Drosophila melanogaster: one gene and its partners. The protein of the gene in region 2 interacts with the protein of the main gene of each other region in a pairwise test. Each region holds a gene or a part of one and is shown on either strand. Other genes may lie near its edges.

Region 1 (4,246 bases), on a different chromosome or scaffold from region 2:
CATATTTTTAACCAAAGTTAATAGCTAATAGCTAATTGCATCGATTCGATTACAACCTTGTTTCGTAGAAAGTTTGCTTAACTTTATCGCATCGTGCGTGCATCTATTTAGGATGAAGGTCACTATGCTGACCTCCGAAAATGCTGAACTTTTCGAGAACATTATAATTTTTGTTTAAAAATAAATTTGTTTTTTTTAAGAGTTTTTTAAATATATAAGTAATGTACGCTTAGTACATTTCTATGGACACACATATTTTTGATGCCACTGTAGCTGCGTATCCTTCGGCGACTGTGTGTGCTTCCTAGTTAAATGAGTATGCGTGTGCTGCTAGTGTGTATGTGTATGTGTGTGTGAGTGCATACAATGCGTATGCTGAAAACTTAAGTCACGAAAGCAGACGCTCTGGCAAAGGCGATCCGTCAGGCTGCGAAATACTTTGGCAACGAAAATATTATACAACTACTACAAGGGTAGGGATTTATTGTGCTTTTTTCCCTTGAAATGCACCGCCCCTGCTACCTTTTAATGTCCTTTCCCCTTGCCATCCGTTCACAGCAGACCTCTATCGCCCACTGTGTGCTCACCGAGATGCAATGAAGCCGAAATGCAGCACTCAACTTGAGCTCCTGTCGCTCCTTCAAAGATCCCTGCAACGAGGCGAAAATCTTAACTGGCAACTCCCCCGGCGAAAATGAGCAGGAAATGTGCAAAGGGGGTGGGGGGTGGGGTTCGAAGGTCCTTCGGTGCCTCCTGCAATTTTCATTTGCATCTTCTGGCGCTGCCATAACTGCCGCCTGTACGCAGTTACACATCACACTTTAGTTCCGCCAAGTGGATTTTCCTCCGGCGCAGAGTTTGTCTTTTCATTAGTTTCGGGGTTTATTGTTATCTTTGGTGCCTGCCTAGAAACGAAATTCACTTGGCTGCAGATTTTGCAGATTAACCAAAAAATGAGCGGGATAATGAAGCCTGACCTTTCGGTGGTCTTTTGTCTTTTACATTAACTTTAATTTTACTTTAGATTTGGGCTTAAAGGGCTATTTTAAGCTATGACTGCTTTGTTTGCTGAATTAAAATGAATAATACAATTCAAGATCTTGCAAGTGTGTTGGTTTATTATTGTAATATTTACTAGGTATTATTTAACACATTTTTTATAGTCCTCGTCCTTGGTCGACTGCCTTCGTTGTGCCGCAAATTGGTTAGCATCCGCCGATGTGATTCCTTGTGCGGATCCCTCAGTTTGAGGGCGAAACAAACTGGGGTGAGAATGTCGTCCACATGGGGAACCTTCGATGCACTGGGCATCCGCCTTAGTCCAGTCCATACACTTTGACGGGCCGTGGAATCATCGGTTGGTTGCGGAGCAATAGCAACCTCAAAGGATCCATCTTCGGGCGGGCCTTTGTCGTTGATCCTTAGCTGGAGCTTAACCCTTGGCTGAATGGCCCTCAGAGCCTCCGCCAGCGAAGAATGGAGGTGCAGGGCTCGCTTGCGATAAGTTTGACGATAACGGCAGTGGTCAATGTAGAGCACCGGCTGGAGTGGATCCAGTGGCCTTTTGTCGGGCATCTCTGGGAGGCAGATGGACACAGGTAAACAGGTGGAAATCTTGGGCGGACCACAGACCACGGACTTCAGCGAGCAGCAGGCATGGCAGGATGTGGGAGACAATCCCGGTCGAGGAGCTGAATCTGGGGTTCAGAGGTTTGACACAATTCTCCTGGGCAGCTTCAAGCCTCCAGCTTATCGGCGACCAGATAACCTGGCCGATGGAGGATATGGGGCGCCCTCATAAATCAAATAAAAGAGCGTATCTGACAAATAAATCTTCGAGGACGAAGCAGGCTCGCAAAAAGAACATGCAAATGCGCATGAAATATGCAAAAGCCGCAAGCCTTAAAATAAATACAAAAATTAAATCAACCAACAGAGCTATACAGTGGTCTTTAGATAGAGGTAACAAGACACGAAATGAGATATACAAAGTACATAAGAGTTATTTCCGATCAAAAGTGAAAGCTATATTCATACAGAATGACAAAAAGTGGGCATTCATCTATGTACGAGTATCATGCAATTTGCGAGAATGTGTTTCAAGAGAAAGTGCATTCTATGGCAAATGCAATGTGATGAGTAATTAATTTGAAAAGTGGACAAAAAATCCGTAATTTTCTAGTAATTACTGTACGTCTAGTATATTGTCCAGTTTTTGCTGACATTTTGACCTGCGGCGACGTGAAAAAAAGAAAATAAAGAAGATTTTTTCTGCAAAATTTACCAGGCTAAAGAGTAAAGAGCAGAGCATGCCAAACGCACAGGCACGGCCAAATAGAATACAGCGCACAAAAAGGAAGCCAAATGAAAAAAGGAAAATGTATATTTTAATAAACCGAACACAAAGCAGCGTAGGAAAAGTCGAGCGCCTCATTTCCCAGCACCACCCACTGAGCCACAGCCACCGAGTGTCGAGCCAGCGGCAAGGTTAGCCAGTTCATTCATTCGGTCTTATTCACAGTTATTGAAAGTAGAGCAGCGCCGCTGCTTCTCGAATAATATGGAAATAAATAAATGTAAGTCCCGGCCACATGATAATAACCAAGGGTTAGAGGTCGGAACGTGAGCCACCGACCCACAGCCGATGACAGTTGACAGACGACGAACACGACGACTACGACTTGAATCCAAATTCGAATCCCGCCGCAAATCCCTGGGAAAATATATTCACCATGTCTTGGGGTTTGGGGTCTTGGATACGGCTCTTCTGCTCCCTCTGATTGGATCAACATACTTAGTTTGTGTTGGCAAAATACCCAACAAATAGTCATGGGAATGCCCTCGACTTTCGCTTTAAGTTGCTCAGGTAGTTTATCGCAAACATTTGCCTTCGCCTTTCAATTTTGGGCTTAGTGAATGTCAAGAAATTTAAAACTCAAGATTTATGGGAGCTTACTCGAATTCTATTTCTAAAGGGGTCAAATGGTATTACATAAAAAAGGCTTAGTATAAAAAAGATTAAGATTGGATGCATATTGGTATGTATTATATTAAAAAAAGGCTTACTATTAAAAGGATTAAGATTGGGTGCATATTAGTATGTATGCATGTTTTTATGGATTCAGCATCAGTTAAGTCAAAGCTATTACCACTCAGATAAATAAAAAAAAAAATAACAAAGCACCAATTGTCACTGATAAATTCATCGACATTGGAAATCAAATTTATTTTTGTACTTCTAAAAATACTGAGACGAAATGAATTGGTTCAATAATATATGCGAGGAAAGTCGCTTAAAGTTTTTTCCCAATCTTCAAACAGTCAAAGCTAAGCGTAAATACGAAATTGGCCTGATGAGCGCAGATGAGTGCTATAGTTTCATAAAGAAAAACCTGAAGTCCAGAAATGTTGTAGAAGAAGAAATGTTGTGGAAAGTCCCCATAATTCTTGTGTGTATCGGCTGCATAATAGTCATACTATTTGCATTTTGTTTCGCATTTCAGTGTGTGATAACAAAGGTAAAGACCGCCAAAGTGCCAAAGCGTTTCGATTTCGACATTTGTGAAGCTGAAAAACCAAAAGCCCAACCAATCCACAAGGCCAGCCAAATTGATCACCCAAAGAAAGGAACAAATTGCTGTACTTGTTTAAAATCAAATCTACTTTGAAGTTGTGTTAACTGAATTTTCTATATATATGTATATAAAAATTATAATTATAATTATATATGAAGTCTAGTTATATGCAAGAAATATGTTTTTTCTTTTTTAAATCAAAATGTAATTTCTTCTGACTAGAATTCATTAAATATTTCCTTTATTGTGATTAATTTACCTGGCAAGTCATCGATAAATTTCTTATATTTTCAGCTGTCACACTCATTATGATAATTGCTGCCCCTTTGGCCAGGACGCCCAAAGTGAGCAACTTTCCGCTCGTCAGCTGAACTTATAGATGGCCGAGTAATCTGGCCAGTGGCCTCGCCCCATTTGTCAATGCTCGTGGTGGTGCAACTCCTGCAATTGCCACAGGGCTGTGGCATGGCCTTCAACCTTCAGCTTTACTTATTCATTTTCGGCTGGGATTTTCTTTGGCCCCTGCTTTTTTCCAGCTTGCCACAAATTGGCCAATGCGTTTGTTCGGGCAGCCAGAAGTTGCCGGGGATTAAAAAACGCTTTGCATGCCAGCGGCAAAAAGATTGGGCGTAGAAGGGGGCGGGAATTGAACTAGGGCGGTGTGGCAAGTG
Region 2 (6,110 bases):
CCTTCAATTGATTAAAGTTGCGGCGTTCGTAAGTAACGAGCTTTAAAGCGAACATATCTCTTTTAGTGAGCACACATATACGCTTTCGCTGACCACATTCGCTCACTTGGCTAAAAGCAATTCTTTCGCCTTTTTTTTTTTTGCCTCGTGCACTTCGGGTTATCCTGTCTGTCTGGCTGACTGCCTATCCTTCCTTTTTGGAAAGTTAAGAGCCTTCGATTTGAAATCCCCTTTGAAACGAGCTCAGTTCTTGGCTGATTTATTGTGCGAATTTGCGCGCACTTTATCCAACTTGCTTAAAGTTTTAGTTATGCCAAAGTTTTGCAAATAAAATTTAAGATAAACTTTGTGTAAGTCTTGACTACGCCCTATACTTAAGGTAGGTATTTGAAGTACTTTGAAGTATATTAAACAAGTATTTATGGATGTGCTTCTTAAACTCAAGATAATTATAGAACAGTTGGAATATTTTCAATTACCATTACATGTGGCTCACTTATCGTAATTCCATTCAAAACGTTCCCTACACGTATTTTCCATTGCCACCTTAGACCACAAAAAAAAATAAAATGAGCCACCGAGTAGTCCATATGCGGCTAAGCTTTCCTTACTGGTTTCTTATCGCCACGAGCCAAAGTTGTTTATTAACCAACCTGAACTTCGGGCCAAACAAAGCCCGTTGAATATTACACGCAAAACGACTTAGACACAACAAACCGGTAAGTAACGCCCACCCAGAAATTGAAGAAAAATCCATTGAATACAGATCAGAGAAGCTTTAATTTCGTTTTGATTAGCAGGCGGAAGTTGAGATGCCAGTGGGGCTAACACTCAACGGCGAACTGTAGCAGCGACATATTGGCGAAGTGACTGATTGTCCGACTGACTGACTGACAGACAGACAGATTGACTGATTGATGGTGTGAAGTTTCACTGAAGCTTGGCATGAGCAGCGCGGATCGGTCATTGAAAGCGAATTCCTCACCAGACCCAATAATACATTTATGGAACCCGACGCCATCGTCAGGTGTCCCGATAATGGGCGACGACGACCGATAAAATGGGAAATTATACAGGCACTCTCGTTTGTCTCTTCGGGATTTACTCAACCATTCCTCAGTTATCGAAGGCTCACAAATGGTTGAGCAAAAAGTGCAAAGAAAGAGGCCTCAATTGGAGTGCAAATATTTGTGCGATGATAGCATGAATTGTATTCTTTATGACGGTCTATATAGGGTTCTATGTTCGGTCGCAAGAGAAACCATGCGATAAGATATGCGGCCAGTTTACTGATTGATATACGACTGTGGGGAAGCAGGAAATTTGTTGGTAACCTGCTATGCTTTCAGGTGGAATAAGTAAAGGGAATATGCTAGATTTCCCAAACCAATGGATTAAGTTATTCCAATGATGTCATATTCTTTAGTTTGCAGCATGAACAACTTAATTAGCCCTTGCTATCTTTCAACAAAACACAAACAACATGCTTCCATAAACTTTAATCGCAATTCACATTGCATGCTTATGTAACTCAGGATATTATTCCCCACAAACAAATATCCCCAAAAAATGGTTAAAGCACGCTCAGCTTTCGGTTCCCACACAACCGATCAGAATTTACAACATAATTTACTAAGCTGCACGCTGACAGTGGAACCAGAGCGGCCACGCCCCCTTGCCAAAAAGCCAAAAACAAGGCAATGTCTGTCACTTGACGCGCTGAATTTGAATTGGCCGAAACGAAAACGGAACCGGCACGAAAGACCCGGCCATGCAATTAGCTGGAGGTCATTGTGTTCGGTTCAGCGAAGTTCATTTCAGTTCAGTTCAGTTCAGTTCGATTCGAATCGATACCAGTGTGATTTCAAATCCAGTTCGGTTTCAGTTTGGGTATCGCCCAGAGTTTCCGTTTGCAATTTTGCGGTTTCAATATTGAATTGGGCGAGGCCCCCGCATTGCATTTACGCTTGACAATGTTTCGACAGCAATTTGCTCAACAAATTGCGATTAAATGTATACAATTGATTGACCATTGTTTGGCTTTCATTAGCACAAAGGAGCGGGGAAGTGCCTTTCATTCGGTGAGTAATTTGACGGCATTATAAGGGCAAATAACCGCTGATCTTGACCCCCTGACCACGCATTTACTCATATTTCAAACTAAGTAACATATGTGAATATGTTAACACGTAGTTCTCCTAATCTGTTGGCCATTGAAAAACTAACCTTCCTTGTGACTGACACTTTTTTTTTGCCTCCCCTTGACAGACTGCCATTCAATTGTCAAATATCTTTGGATCTGCAGCGTCACGATTTCCAACTGGGCGCACGACCTCAGACATTGCAGTTGCCGATAAATTGCATTGAACTTCAAAAATTGAAACTTCACGAGGGCCATTTGGCAGCCATTCGAGGGCGGCTGAGGGGGCGTGGTCGTTTTTATGTTGTAAGGGCACGTGTCAGCCTTTGGCTGCATAAAAATTTCAATCAACAACATCTGTTGAAAAATTGCATTGCGATTCCACAGTAATTGGTTTTTTGTGTGATTCAATGCAAAATGCATTTAGTTTGATTGTGAATTTGTGTCTTTTAAGGATTTTGATCCTTAATCTTAGTGCAAGATTATTATTGATTCAAATATTAAATAACTAACGCAAAAATTTTACGATCAACTGTTCCTTGCATTCTGTTGTTTTGGGCGAAATTCATGTAAAAAAAAATCACAAATTTCTGTAGCGGCATGTTTTTTAAAAAGTGCTGCTTTTTCCTGCCCCTCAACGTGGGTTGCATAATCATTGGAGCCATCTTCATAACATTTCACGTTGGGGAGCTGATAACGCATTCGGATGACACCATTTTCATCAAGCAAGTGTCCCACAAATGGTGGGCACCCGTCATCATGTCTCCGATCCTGACAATTGGAACTCTGAGCTCTATACTCCTTGTGTATGCTGCTTCGAAGGTAAGAGATTCAATTGGTTTCTTTCAAGATTCTAATGCTTTATAACATTACAAATGCAGAGCAAGCGAGGCTTTGTCCTTATGTGGATTATCATCTATGCAATTATACTATCCCTATATTTCCTAATGGCCGTTGTCCAGTTGGCCAGGTCGAAACCTTCGCCGATTATATTGGCCGTTCAGGTGTTCATCATAGGTGGGTGTTGGCCATTTTTGATTGAATATGTCTGAATAATGTCTTGATTTTCATACCCCCTAGTTGGTCTCGTTTATTCCCTGCTAATAGTGCTGGCTTTTTATCGATATTTGAGCAGTGTGGATTCTGACGATTCAATTTGATGAGTTGTAAAATAAATGTTAAACTAACGTGTAACTGAATTTAACTGATCTAGTTTACTTCTTTCAGTGTGTCCCTTTTATACAAACTAGATTTTCAACAAATTTCAGTTTCTCAGGAAAGCTTTGAAAATTGTTGTTTAAAACTTGCAGTGCGGCTGAGGATCGGATCAATCATGGCCTGTCGCTGCAAATATCTGAAGCAGATCTTTACCAAGTGCTGCTACTGCTATTCCCTGCGTTTCGGTGTGCTGCTCTTCGGATGCATTTTTCTAACCTGGTTCATTTACATCACCATCGGCACCGGCTTCATGATGGAGTGCATCTTTCCGAACGAGTATCAGAGGTCCCTTATCCCAGCACCGGCGGCCCTCAAGGCCACCATGGTCTTCTCCTTCTTCGGCATCATAGTTTCGGCCATGCTCTGCCTGGGAGTGCACAATGTATGTGATCTGTCTATTATAAATATTCCCAATATATTTAGCATATGCTTATAATACCTCATAATTTTGTAGAACAACGAGATGCTCTTCCTGCCATTTTTGGTTTTCACACCCATTTGGATAATTGTGCACATTTTTGCCCTGACCGTTTACAGCTTTAATACCATCATCATCATCCTGACTGTCATCACAATGTGTGGGTACCCCCAATAATCATGAATCTAAAGCCTAAATTAAGTATACTATTTAATGTTTTATAGTACTTTTAGTGTATGCCTGGCTGGTGGTTTGGTCCTACTACATAGAACTGCTCTTCGCCTACGAAGATGAACTGGAAACCGGTTATGTGTAATAATAGTAATAATAATGATATTTACAAATTTTAGTATGTTGAGCAAGCATTTGATGTGCCTAATAAAATAATGCATGTAGGATACAGAAATACAGATCATAATTTCGCTTGAGCAGAACTCCATACTATGTGAAGTAGACCCCATTTCGGATGTACATATTTCTCCCCGTTTAGTGAGTATTTAGCGCACATGAGACATGCCCGTGCTCTATATACACCGAAAAGACAATGGGTATCGCAGTGGTAATGACAGTGACCGACTTACCTTCGGCAGCGAGGCGAGCACCTGCTGCTTGACATCCCAAACGAGCCGCTCCGATGGGAACTGCAGACACTTGTAGACATTCAGCTCCGGCACATGGATGCGCACCAGTAGCCATCCGTCCCGCGGCTCCGGCGGCGGCTCATCGTCAAACGCACCCGACCCGGACATGGCGTCCGTATTGGCCGGGTTCTGTTTGACTTTGGGCGTGGGTGGGTGGTATGTCGTAATTTTGACGGCTTTCTATCGCACGGTCCACGAAAAAAAAACGAAGCTACTCCCGCTCCACTGGGAGATCTCCTTCTAGCCGTTCTATTCGCTTAATTTGCTCTTTCCTTATTTGGTTGCACTTCAAAGTGATTTGCCTTTGGGCGTGATGAGCTACTAAGTTAATTTATCTAACTTTTTATTGCCAATCTATTTGGCTTTCTTTTACGGCCTTCTGCTGTTGGAATCCGTTTTGTTTGGACATTTCGCTGTGCTGCGTTCGTTGAGTCTGGCGCATGATGGTTCTGAAATGAATCAAATTAGAGGTATAAGAATAAAATATATTATAATGTATAATATTTCCTTTCCGAATCATAATGCATTACCCAATGAAGCTATTAATTTTCACTCCACTTTCATATGCACTAAATATTTTCGCATAAATTTAGTACACATATGCAAATTGCAATCCATTAAAAGCCTGCTCAAGTCCAGACAACAACATAAAATAGTTTCCCCAGCACTTAATTTTTAAATTGGTTTACTTTTCGAAACTGTCCACTGCACTTTTCCTACGCACTTGATGATATCAGTCAGACGGCAATTGGCCCGATTTTCCGAGCCCCTTTTCATGTCTGCAGGCCTATCTAATAGGAAAAACAAATTGTCAGAGTGAAAAGAAAACACTTGGGCTGCCGCAAACATTTCTCGTTGATGATTACAATTTGATATTGACATTTTATGGCTGCAGCACTGCAATGGCAGTTGCAATTGCAATTATGCACAAATTAAATTCACACGCTAGCTGGAAAGGAGGAGGTGCCACACGGTGGGTGGAGGATTGGAGGCATGTAAATGTGTGCCAAAGACCCGCTGACAGTTGTCGCTTTTGTGTTGGGGAGGAGGAAGGGGGGGGGGGGCGGAAAATGGAGCGGAAAAGCGGGCGGAGCGGGACATGTCGAGGCAACTGGAACTGTGGGCGGAACGGGTTAGCCACCAACTGCAGCAACAACCACATCTGCAAGTCTGCACTTTGTCGCATTTAATTGCGAGCGTGTTGATTGCATTCAACTAGTTAGAGTTGGCATTTCGAAAGGGCGGGGGACGGAGATGGCGGGAAATGGGGGAAAACTAGTGTAAAATGGAAATCGCTTGCGGGAAATGATAAATCCTAATTGAGGATAAAAGTTGTGGGTGCTCTGTCTGAAAGATGAAAGGTTTTGCAGTCAAAGGTTGTGACAAAATGAAAGGCTTTAGAAAAAGGTGGAAAAAAGGAAAGCATTTAAAAGTGCTTGTAAAATCCCAAATAAGAAGACTTTACTCGTTGAGTTTTTGTAAGAAACTGATTTTATTTGGAAATATCTTCGGTTTAAATAGGTGACATGAGAATCGCATCTTAAAGTAAATGGCCTACGCAGAGGCCTAAGTAAATAGTCCCCGCCTTATCGAGGTCCCACGCTCGGGCACATCTGCCTATCTTGAGCGGCGAGGACCTTATCTGTGGTCTCCCACTAAGGGACTATTTTAGGAGGCGGGGAACGATCTCAAG
Region 3 (6,165 bases), on a different chromosome or scaffold from region 2:
GTACTTACATAGCAGGCTGTCATGGCCGGATATGCCCAGAATCCGGGTCGCACCAGGAACTGCGGATGTAGCCATACCACGCAGGCGAAACCCATGTAACTGGATGAGCTGAAGTACATGCAGCTGGCGAGGCCATTGAACAAGGTCTCCTGGAATAAGAGCAATCACCATATCGTTAGATCAGAAAAAATTAAAATTAAAATGCATCCTTCAATTTGAATTGAATTTTGTGTTCGAGCAAGTTAGTAGAGAATCTATTCTTCACTTGGAAAAGCGCTCCAAGTCAACCTACGAATAGTGACTGCCGAATGAGACTGTAGGATTTGTCGGAGAAGGCGTAGCACAGTAGCAGGATGCCAGTGGTGGTGAAGCAGTGGCCGGTTGTGGCCAGGAAGCTGGTTAGCGCCTGGCCAATGGAATCGGCGTATGGTACGCCGTAGCGGATGAGCAGTCCCTCGCAGAGCATGGCCAGGCCCAGTTGCATCAGCTTCAGGAGGCCGATCCGCGACAGAACGAACCCGAAATTGATGCAGGTGCAGACGCGACAACAGCATATCCGAATGCCCAGCGGCTGGCCCATTCCTCGAACTCCAAACGAGGCCATGGTCTGATTGCAACTGATCCGGCGATGCAGCGACTCCGCTTTGTTGTATGTTGTCGTAGTGCCAGCCAACCAGGTTCTATAAATAGCTGCCGATACACATGGACCCCAAGTGGTGCATTTCCTTGCATTTCCAGCGACGTGGCAACAAATCCACCCCAATCTCCAGCTAAATTTAGAACAGCAATTCACAATGGGCGAGGATTTGTCTATGCGGAAGGTATCTTCCTTAAATATCCGATTTAATTTCTCTGAAACTACATGATATATATGTTAAAATATTGATACAACTTGGATATCAACCTTTTCACCTTTTAATTTGATCCATTTACCCAAGTGTTTGCTATCCTACGTTCAGTTTGATTTTCGATGCCATCCAAATTCTAGTCGCCAATTCGAATCGTTCCAAAAAAAAAAAACGTTAAGCATAATTCCCCAAATTTCGAGCTCACGCGAACGTGAACCACTGCCAGGATGTGCATGCCGTATTTGAGTAAGCTCTTCGGTGGAGGCGATCGCCGGCAGCGTCGCACCCGCGATGGAGGCGTCACCCCACTGCCCAGCCTGGCCAATGTGACCCAGGTCTCCATGGACACCGTCAAGTCCGCCAAGTCAGCGAAGTCAGCGAAGTCGGCTAAATCCGGCAAGTCCGCCGGTCGCCGTAGTACCACCGCTGCCAATCCTCCTGAGTCCAGTGTCAGCAGCAATGAGGATAATGCGGAGCAACCTCTGGCGACCGCCTCCCGAGGAGCTGTGCGCAACGCCACCGCCTCGATGGCCACCAGTGCTGCTCCAGCCGACGAGGCGAGGTCGCGCCGCTCCTGGTGGGGATACTTTGGCATGAGCAAGAACAAGAAGTCCAGCATTGAGTCGCTCTAGACTGCCAAGGATCGGGATTGCAGCGAATTGCAATGCATATATTCAATAGGAGTTGATGGTCATCGAAATTTGGCTTGCAGTAGTCCCCTATACACTTATCAAAAATCTTTTGCTTTTTTCGCTTTCAAGATATTAGTTAAATAAAAATGTTCCATTTCGAACCTTTGGAACACCAAAAGTTCTTAAGTTTCTATATGGTAATTATGGCAACCTATTATAGCATTTTAAAACGTTCTCTCAACTACAATAATTTATTTTAATAATAGTTTTCAAAAATTCGTGTTAGGCTTCCAGATCTCGTCAAACTGTCAGTACATTTAAAATAGATAAATTTTTAGATGAGATAATGAAACTGGGGGAATCCTGCAAAACATGAATAATCTAAACTGAAATAAAGTTGCCAACTAAATTGGTCAATAAATCAGGGAAGTTATGGCCAAGTTATATGTATGTATGTACATATGTACTTTCACTTTCCCCGTCGATCTCTACGCCCCTGAGCTTTCTTTGTGCCCGCTCTGTTCTCCGATTTCTTTAGCCGATCGGTTGGCGCTCTAGAAGATCGTGTTGTGTCCGGGAAGGGGGCGTGGCAGGGGCAGGGACAGGAGCGGGATGCAAACAAAGCTCAAACGTCGGCACCGCCAGCGATTAGTGTAATTTATCAGTCGCAGCGGCAATTTATGTGGCTAAGCCCGATCGGTGGGATTATATACATTCATATATCTATATAGATGTACATGTTTGTGGGATTGTTTGTTGTGTGTGGGGGGGTGGGGGGTGTGGTGCTCGTGCGGGGGTGGATGCTTTTTGACAATAAAATAATGTGGCTGTTATCACAAGTAATTGTTGCTGCCGGCAGTTGTTATTGTTGCTCCTACCGCTATTGTTGTGCGCTGTCGCTTGCGTCAATGGGCGGCTACACTGCGAGAAATTGGGGCTAAGCGAAAGGCAATTTATGTAAAAATATACCAATAATAATAAGATTACAAATAAGACAATAAATATGAAGGTTTAAAATCTAAGATTGCATTAGAAACGAAGGTATTTGAGTTATTTTTGTAGAATAAACAAGTATAGTTTAAAAATATTTAAAAAAATATTTTCCTGTATACATTCATCTACTTTTGTATTAATATATTCAAGCGCTTATTTATAATTCTTCTTGAATATGTAAAAATGGATTGTAATGCAATTCTTTAAATGTATGCAATTCTTATATACTTATTAATTTTAAAATTTTTTTAAGTGATGTTTCGAATAAAAGGTAGCTATAACGATGACGCCCCAGAAATGCTGTAACAAGTGAAACCGTTCAGAATTTGCATAAATCGTTGCAAAACCCCCTCCACCCCCCTCCACACTCCATAAAGCGGAAATTTTGCAATCTGCAATTAGGAATTTGCCAATTTCGTCACGAATTTTGCACGTGCATAAATCATTGCAGTTAGTTGGTCAATAATCAATCGCCCGTCCAACTTCATCCAATTGGAAATGTGGGATGAGAGGCATTTTGCGATTTTTCGCTTTTCCGAAAAAACAACAACTACGAACACACAAAGATCTCTTTATGCTCTCTTGTTTATTTTAAAAGTCAAGACTATAGAATTTACACATAGGCATCTGTGGTTAAAGTTATGTATATATATATACATAATATCCGCCGATCGGGCGGAAAATGGGAAAGCTCTGTCTGCCTTTCTCTCATTGGCGCAAATGCGTCTGACGTCGCAGCAACGAAACAATATAACAAAGAAAATGTTAAATTTTCAAATGTTTACGTGAAGAAGCGAACAAACAAGGAATGTAAAAATAATTCGCACTGAAAAATCGAAAAAAAACCACTTGTAAATTGTTAATGGTTGTGCCATTAATTGCGGCAAGACTTACACAAAAAAAAAAAGAAACAAAAAAAAAGGCAAAAAGTCGACACAGTGCGCTGATTGTTGTTCAGTCAAATTAAAAGTGCGACAAATTCTCGCGTTCAGTTGCATTTTCATTTTCATTTGCAGTTTTGTATTTGTTTATTTCGGTCGCCTGACAATCTCCAAATCGCCTTAAAAAAAAAATAAAAAAACAAAATAACAACGTACACAACAACGGGGCATTTAATTAAATAAATCGCAAACATCAGTCAACGGCCTGTTATTTCCAGCCGCCAAATCGGACATTATATCGGACATTCTATATACTATATAGCACATTTCGAGAGATCCAATCTGGCGAGAGAAAACCCAGAACAGGAAACAATTGAAATCATCTGAGAAAACGGTATTTATGATGGGAAACGTGGCCAAAAGCAATATGTATGTACAAATTCCTCAAAAATATCAACAATATAATTTCAGCATAAGAAAACAACATAACAAAATTCGTAAATATTAAAATTAGTAAAAATAATATACATTAGATGTATGGAAAAGAGCTAAATATTTCAAAAATTTATAAAGTGAGTTAGAAAGAGCGTTGTTACGATCGTTTTGAAAGTGAATGAATGTGCTTTTCCCAGAACTTAAACAGTCTAAAAACTGTTGTTGGCTGGCTAAACAAATCGCTTTTCCCCATTAACAGCCAAATGCAGCTGTCAATTGGCAACAACTTGCTGGCAAATAGCAAATATTTTGTGCTTCGTACTTAAAGTTTAATAGTACGAAGCACAATTGTGAGTGGTGGGTGTTGATAGACCAACAACAAGTGCGAGCAGCACAAATGTTTAAAATAGAGTATATTTTTATATTTTTTTTCCTTTTTTTGTTTTTTTTTTTTTGCTGAAACGCCAATTCATGGGGCAACAACAAGATGCAGAAGGGGCGATTTCTTGGGGCGAAAGTCGCAATGAAGGGCCGTAAACAAAAAGGCTTTATCTGGGCCAACATCGAGCCAAGTGAGAAGATAATGGCCAAGTGCCTGGCCAGTCTGGCACACTGATTGACTATTATATATACCCATCATGTCTATAGTTAACCGATCCGATGCGATCCTGGTCTAGAAGTGGTATAACCTGCGATTGCCATTTATTTATAGCAATTTGTTTGCCGCCCCGTCGACGTCACTATCATTTGCTATTGTCATGATTTTTGGAAGTCTAAAAACGTAGAGGTGGAGGAACTTGGCGACTTTTAAACGTTTGCAAAACAAGTACACTCGAACCCATATCGCTGTGGCCCACTTTAATTTGAAATCCTTTTCTTAAGTACAAATAGAGCCCCAATATATATGTATATATATATATATATATATATATATATAAGTTGTTAAATAAAATAAAGGTAAGCTCAGGTAGGAAAGAATGCGAAAGAATGTCACACTCATAAATGACGCATTATCGAAATTGAATTTTGAAATGTCAACCAGTTTCTCCCAGTGTACTACGCGCTGCGTGCCCCGCACCGGAGATGAGTTGACAGAATGTGAACAAGTGCCCCTCGATTGGAAAGTCCAAAATCACATGGTAATGTACTATATCTTCTGCAATGCTGTCTCAGGTGGGAAAACCTCAGTTTCGGAGTGACACTGCAGTTCCGAGTAGATATCCTTTGAGTTTGAGTTCCTGATTAGATGACCTGATATGACCGGCGATCCATAATATTTCGCCGAAATCTTATCTTTAAAGAAAAACATAGCAGCGTACTCATAAGTTTAATTACTAAATATATGTTCGTGCCGCACAAATAATCTTAGTCATTGCTCTTTAATTGAAAACTAACTAGATTGATACGAACAATTTGTTATTTATGTTTTCAGGGAATAGTTATAGATATGGAATCTATATACTGATAGCATGCCTCTCTTTGGTTTTATAAGCCAACGAGTTGCTGAAAACCAAATCTTCTAGCTTATCGAAACAATCGAGAATCGATTATCGAGTATCGATGATTCACCCCCACTGATGGATCCAAAGCGGAAGAGTCTTCCCATCCGGAACGGAAAATTCCGGAATGGTAGCCACTTTGGATTGTCAATTTGTGGGAGAAAAACAAAAAACAGTTTGCCCAGTCTGTCCATCTGCGTCATTGCGAAAAAAAAATACTTGTCGCCCACTTGTTGTCGAAGTGGGCGTGGCCGGAGGTGTGCTGACACACAAACAATTGCGGACGCAAGTAAACGAGAAATTTTGAAGAAAAATTAAAACCCTTTTTTTAATGGGTACACTGCAAATTTTAATGTGATCTAAGCTGATCTGGGCATATCAAGGTAATTACTTCTTTGTTAGATTTATGATATAATGATATGATATGATATTATGATTTATGATATGATCACTTGGGCAGACAAGTGTACTAGATGCGTTCAAGGAAGTCGTTTAGTTTTCTTAAATTATACCAGAAGCTTGGGCCTTTCAATTGCTTGATAATCCTACCATCTTGGCCGCTGCTGTATGCGCCCTTAGATACTTGTACATGGGTTTTAGTTTTCTCTGTGAGGCGCCATGTACCCAAGTACCTCGAATTCCTGAGGATCGTGTTCGCTATGCTGCTTATCAGCCCATCTGGTATCGTCAAATCGATAAATCATGTTCCCAGGGGTTCGGCGATGACAATAGCTGATGACGATGACGATGGCGATGGCGATGGCGATCTTCCCCCACCTTGATCTACTGCAAATGCCGTTCTATTCGTAACTGACTTGATCGCTGGCATTGAGACGCTGGCATCGCTTTCATTTGACAACGATTTCCATTTCAATTC

The links.
Region 1: the proteins of CG42288 (region 2) and CG43054 interact in a two-hybrid assay, tested with the Drosophila melanogaster proteins (one large-scale study listed by BioGRID).
Region 3: the proteins of CG42288 (region 2) and CG13012 interact in a two-hybrid assay, tested with the Drosophila melanogaster proteins (one large-scale study listed by BioGRID).

Annotation. Positions count from the first base shown.
Region 1 is NT_033779.5:17,624,644-17,628,889, forward strand, and holds CG43054 (uncharacterized protein), read left to right. Parts: upstream 1-3,215; 5' UTR 3,216-3,257; coding exon 3,258-3,668; 3' UTR 3,669-3,746; downstream 3,747-4,246. Other genes in the region: CG15147 (uncharacterized protein), read right to left, coding at 1,135-1,575.
Region 2 is NT_033778.4:14,087,636-14,093,745, forward strand, and holds CG42288 (uncharacterized protein), read left to right. Parts: upstream 1-3,395; 5' UTR 3,396-3,473; coding exon 3,474-3,740; intron 3,741-3,812; coding exon 3,813-3,936; intron 3,937-4,000; coding exon 4,001-4,092; 3' UTR 4,093-4,179; downstream 4,180-6,110. Other genes in the region: prosap, read right to left, coding at 4,358-4,525; CG42287 (uncharacterized protein), read left to right, coding at 2,741-2,962, 3,022-3,157, 3,221-3,300.
Region 3 is NC_004354.4:16,673,754-16,679,918, reverse strand, and holds the start of CG13012 (uncharacterized protein), read left to right. Parts: upstream 1-3,165; 5' UTR 3,166-3,748; exon of another isoform or gene 3,749-3,783; intron 3,784-6,165. Other genes in the region: sing (singles bar), read right to left, coding at 9-149, 293-604; CG13010 (uncharacterized protein), read left to right, coding at 1,076-1,480.